2 linked regions of the Kluyveromyces lactis genome follow. The protein of the gene in region 2 binds, or shares a complex with, the protein of the main gene of each other region. Links are inferred from orthologs where the notes say so. Each region holds a gene or a part of one and is shown on either strand. Other genes may lie near its edges.

Evidence for each region.
Region 1: COQ11 (region 2) and CAT5 share a complex: the UniProt entries of both Saccharomyces cerevisiae proteins name them as parts of the multi-subunit COQ enzyme complex. The link is inferred for Kluyveromyces lactis from reciprocal best matches to the Saccharomyces cerevisiae genes COQ11 and CAT5.

What each region holds. Positions count from the first base shown.
Region 1 is NC_006041.1:223,404-226,212, reverse strand, and holds CAT5 (putative monooxygenase CAT5), read left to right. Parts: upstream 1-1,322; coding exon 1,323-2,033; downstream 2,034-2,809. Other genes in the region: PHO92 (mRNA-binding phosphate metabolism regulator), read left to right, coding at 6-800; FRQ1 (frequenin), read right to left, coding at 2,394-2,809. UniProt on the Saccharomyces cerevisiae protein: Catalyzes the hydroxylation of 2-hexaprenyl-3-methyl-6-methoxy-1,4-benzoquinol (DMQH2) during ubiquinone biosynthesis.
Region 2 is NC_006037.1:400,367-403,278, reverse strand, and holds COQ11 (ubiquinone biosynthesis protein COQ11), read left to right. Parts: upstream 1-1,482; coding exon 1,483-2,334; downstream 2,335-2,912. Other genes in the region: KLLA0_A04433g (translation initiation factor eIF-2B subunit), read left to right, coding at 1-817; KLLA0_A04389g (SUR7/PalI family protein), read right to left, coding at 2,504-2,912. UniProt on the Saccharomyces cerevisiae protein: Component of MIOREX complexes, large expressome-like assemblies of ribosomes with factors involved in all the steps of post-transcriptional gene expression. Component of a multi-subunit COQ enzyme complex required for coenzyme Q biosynthesis.

The sequences.
Region 1 (2,809 bases), on a different chromosome or scaffold from region 2:
GAAAAATGTGTAATATTCAAATGGATCTATGGACGGAATTGTTCCTGCTGAATGCCTCATCGAAGTTTGATTTTGATGATAAAAATAATGCCAGTAACGGTAATGCTTGGTATAAAGACCGTTCTGATACTCAGGAAAAGATAGTTCCTAAAGGTTTCAATGATGAAGAATCCTTTGATACAAGCGGCGGATCTAGTTTCATAGAAAGTCTAATGTCAAACATGGATGGTTTTTTCTCCACAGCTTCTACCATAATGGAGTCTTTATCGCCGCTGAAAGAGTACACTACTGATTATTCGAAAATAGAGAACCGTGAGTCGGTGTATGGGATCCCACATGGTTCTAAATTTTTTGTTATCAAGTCTTTCAACGAAAGAAACGTTAAACTTGCACTACAAAATAGTGTATGGTCTTCGACACGCAAAGGGAACAGAAGACTTGAGAGAGAATACCATAGTCTTGCACCAGGTGCTAAACTTTTCTTATTATTTTCTGTTAACAAATCTGGTAAATTCTGTGGCATTGCAGAGATGTGCTCGGATCTCATAGAAAATGATCCTCGCGCCAATATTTGGGAAACACATACTGATTCGTACACTTTCCCACATTTATTCCAGATAAAATGGTGGTATGTGAACGATGTGAAAGTGCGTAGATTCAATCATTTGGTTTGGGAAACTGATGGTGAACAGAAATCATTGGGCCATGGACGTGATACAGAAATTGTTCCGTTCAATATTGGACACGAAATTGTTGCTATTTTCCACAACTCATATACTAAATCGTCTCTACTATTTTAAATCTTGTTCCAAGAAAGGTCCCTAGAACTTTGCGACGGTTACACACGCGGTGACTGAATGTAATATAGCTAATGTATATAGTTGCTAAACTAGTAACTATATGATGGTGAACTTCCGGTATCAATCGCTTGGGTTACATTTCAAAACCCCCTTTAAAGGGTTTGGGAATGGAAACTGTCTCTACTAGGATCCACATCGAATAGCTTCCACTTGCCAGAGGTTTAGGTTTTACTTCTTGCACCTGATTCGATGACAGCATTTCTTCAAGCCACTGGCGCAAAATCGGGTAACCCAATAATATTTCCTTATACTGACAATCAGCAGATCATGGTGAAAAAGCACAACTTTGATATAGAATAAAGGTATACTATATAAATGGCTGGGGTATTGCTCTTCAAGGTTTAATTGTACAAGCAGTTCTTCATCAGGACAAGTATTTGTTGGTAAAGTTTGGCAGGTTAATCGCTATCTTACACTTCAAAGTTTCGCCCTTTCAATTGGCTTTTGGTATCAAGTTAGCGAATGCTTCGTACGTGCTGTAGGAGAGCCGTCCCGCTAAGACAGTTTTCGGTCTTATCTACCTTGGGCAATAGTAGCAATGCAGGGGAGCATAGAGCGGAACCTAATGAGTCTGCTGAATTGACCAAATTCAAGCCAATGTCAGACGCTCAGCTAGCATATTTGGATAGGGTGGTTAGGGTGGACCAGGCTGGTGAATTAGGAGCAAATTACATTTATGCGGGTCAATTCTTCGTACTTGCCAATAGATATCCACATTTGCGCCCTGTGTTGCAACATATGTGGGATCAAGAGATTCACCATCATGATACATTCAACAATTTACAGCTGAAAAGGCGTGTGAGGCCTTCATTATTGACACCGCTTTGGAAAATTGGAGCATTCGCAATGGGTTCTGGGACAGCTTTCTTGTCACCAGAAGCGGCAATGGCATGCACGGAAGCTGTCGAAACTGTTATTGGGGGGCATTATAATGACCAGCTTCGCTGTCTCAACAATCAATATGAATTGGAATCAGAAGATGGAACTAAAGTTGGACAAACTGTAGAATTGAAAAATTTACAAGCTACTATCAAACAATTCAGAGACGAAGAATTGGAACATTTGCAAACAGCTATTGATTACGATTCGCATAAGGCAGTCCCATACATTCTTTTGACGGAGGGGATCAAGACTGTTTGCAGAGTTGCGATTTGGGCAGCGGAACGTGTGTGAATGGTTGGCCCTTCTGACAGTACGCTAACCCTTTCTAATGAACCGTGATGAATACGTGATAAGGCATATTTGGTTTTATATATACAGATTGGAGAAGTATTATAGTATCGTATACAAACGTATATATTACACTGATGATATAGTTACACCCATACACGTTGGAAACTAACGTAAATCAATGTTTCAGGAAGAGAACCGCATGCTCCATTATCAAAAAAGAGCACATTAAAAGAAACAGTCAGTATGAATATGACTTTAAGACTAACAACTTCAAGCCAAAAAAAGTGCCCCCGCCTAATTGCCGTGCAACCGTTGAAAACTTACACTAAGTAAGTTGTATGGAAGCAGGTTACACAAGGGTCATACCAATCCATCATAAAGATTCAATGCCCCTACTATAGATGGATCGACCTTCGATCCGTCTCTAAATTCATCTAACGTAATACAACCATCTTTGTCTTTATCCATAAGCCTAAAGATCTTTTCTACCCTTAACTCTGGAGTAGCTTCATCGTCACTTAGTTTTACCATGTTCCCGATCATTTTATAAATACTTGACACTATGGTCAACATTTCTTCATATGAAATTACGCCATCGTGGTTTAAATCATAGAGTTGGAAAGCCCAGACTAACTTTTCCTCTAAGGAGCCCCTGGAAGTGGTGCTTAATGCTGTGATAAATTCTTTGAAGTCAATGGATCCATTATTATCCTTGTCAAACACGCTAAACACATACGTAGCAAACTCATCTGGCGAGCCAAAGGGGAAAAATTGTT
Region 2 (2,912 bases):
AGAAGAAGAACAGACTAGTGCTGAACCGATGATATCTTCAATGTTCAATTTATTACAGAAGCCTATGACTGATACGAAGACAAAAAAGGTACAGGATAACAAACTAGACGTAAGGCAAACCATTGTTCAGTCAATTCGTGATCTTATAGATGAAATTAAAAATATCGATGAAGGTATTCAACAAATAGCTATTGAATTGATTCATGATCGTGAAATCCTACTTACCCCTACTCCAGACTCTAAAACCGTTCTTCGTTTCCTTCTGAAGGCTAGAGAAGGTAATAATAGAAATTTTACTGTTTTAGTGACTGAAGGATTCCCTAACAACGCAACCGTGGCTCATGAATTCGCTAAAAAATTAAGTGAACATGACATTGAGACTATTGTAATCCCTGATTCAGCTGTATTTGCATTGATGTCGAGAGTGGGGAAGGTCATTATAGGAGCTAAAACCGTTTTCACTAACGGTGGAACGATATCTTCGACTGCTGGTGTCTCCTCTGTATGTGAGTGCGCAAGAGAGTTCAGAACACCTGTATTTGCCGTTGCTGGTCTTTATAAACTTTCTCCATTATACCCATTCGATGTTGAGAAGATGGTAGAAATTGGAGGATCTCAGAACGTATTGCCTACAACTGAGAATGATAGAGTAGGTACCGTTGCTTTAGAAACGATAAATCCAATTGCTGACTATATTCCCCCGGAAAACATCGATATTTATATCACCAATATTGGCGGCTTTGCCCCAAGTTTCATATATCGTGTGGTATGGGACAACTACAAACAAGAGGATGTAAACCTCGGGGAAAAAATATAACGATCCATGCATGTCTGAAATAGATTTAATTTAAGATACGATCTGTTCTAAGAAACTCAGCATTCATTGTTGCATATTTCTTATTGATGTATCTGGTAATTCAAACCTTAAACATCGATTCTTGTTCTTATAATACCGATGCCCTGTGCCTCGCTCGGTTGAATGTATCTGAAACTTTCAATCTTGAGCTGGATGGTTAATGTTTATTGTTCAATTATGAATTAACGAAACATTTATGACTAATGGGCCACATCGAGTTGACTTCTTTTGAGTACGAAAAGGCCCTATTTTGAAATCAATGACCTTGACCCGTAATTAGAAGTTCACACATTCTTAGATAGTTTACCAGTAGATGCCTAATTTGGCTCATAGCTTTTTGTTGAGAAACAAGGGATCCTCTTCTCAACCGCAGCAGTATTCAAAAATTATTTGAAGGATTGATCCAGGTTCCATTCTTGATAATCGATAGTGGAGTATCCGCTCCTTATTCTCGTATCCTCCTTGTAGTAAACTAAATTTAACTTGAGCCAGTGCAGTGATTGATGCGACCATCATGAACTCTGGTCACGTGACTTGGTTGTTCCTCTCCACAAATGCTTCTGCGAAGTTGAGATTTGCCGTTTCAAAGCTAAAATGATGGTCACTCCGCAACTGACAATGAATAAATGATGAGACGCATTGCTTTATCAAAAAGGGTCCTTTGTATACCGGAAGCCATTGATATGAGTCGCAAATTGATAGTACTTGGTGGTACTGGATTCTTGGGGAAACGTATCTGTGAAGCTGCTGTTGGAGCAAATTTCCAAGTAGTTTCACTATCGAGGTCGGGAAAGGCTACTTCATCTGAACCATGGGCAAATGAAGTTGAATGGAGATCTTGTGATATTTTTAATCCTGACACATATGCACCAGTACTTCGTAATGCCACTGATGTAGTTCACAGTCTAGGAATACTTTTGGAGAATGAGAATTACAAGAAACAAATCAATGGTTCGTTTTGGTCGGTACCGAAGTTATCGTTCGGAGGGTTTGGTAAGAACCCATTGGCACCAAAAAAACCTGAGAGATCGAGATTTACATACGACATGATGAACCGTTATAGTGCCACCTTACTTGCAGACACTTATATGAAGGTGAACGGTGGTCAAGCTCAGACTTTCAGTTACATTTCGGCTGACAGAGGATTCCCATCAATTCCAAGTGGATACATTGATTCTAAGAGACAGGCCGAAGAACACATTTCCCAATACGGGAAACAGATAAGGTCCATCATTTTAAGACCTGGGTTTATGTTTGACGAAAGAAACTCTGAATCGGATGGAAGAACGCAGATTCGTAATTTCTTGCAAATGTTGAACTGCGGTAATGAAATGGTACTTAGACAAAAGATACCGTTTGTCAACGACCTTGTGCGACCATTAATCTCTACACAGCAAGTAGCACACTCGTTAATATTAGCATTACAGGATCCCAACTGTGAAGGGGTATTGACCTTGGACGAAATGCTCAAGATGTAAGAGAATGTATCTTTTATTTAAAACGTGAGAAATAATATTACAAAAAGTACTTTATTAATGAAGAGTTATAATAAACATGCGATGAGATATATGTTCCTTTTCTAAAGAAACAAATGCAGTATTGGGAAGGAACCAGTCAAAAAGGGTATATAGACTAGGTGATATCACTTCAGAGGATCTCTCTCTTCGAAGTTTTCTTTTTCCAAATTTCGTTTAATTCATCCGGATCTCGTGGCTCTGTCATCGGGACGCAAACGTCCACTTCTCCTTGCAGCTTGACGAACCTTCTGTAAGATAAATCTCTAATCATCAGGCAAAGTAAAATGCCACTTAAGGCCACGAAGAATGCGCTAACTAACATCAACCAACTTGACCACGTGACGTGGGATGCAAACATTAAAACGTCAATAAGGAATCCCAAGAGGGAAACCATGAAAGTGACCATGGACCAGCCCACGGCGAAAAGTAACACACTCTTTGAAGTGTTTAACCATTTAATACATATTAGAATGGCAAATAACCAAAACACCAGTACGCATACAAAAGACAATACATGAACCAGCAATAACTTCGAAAGA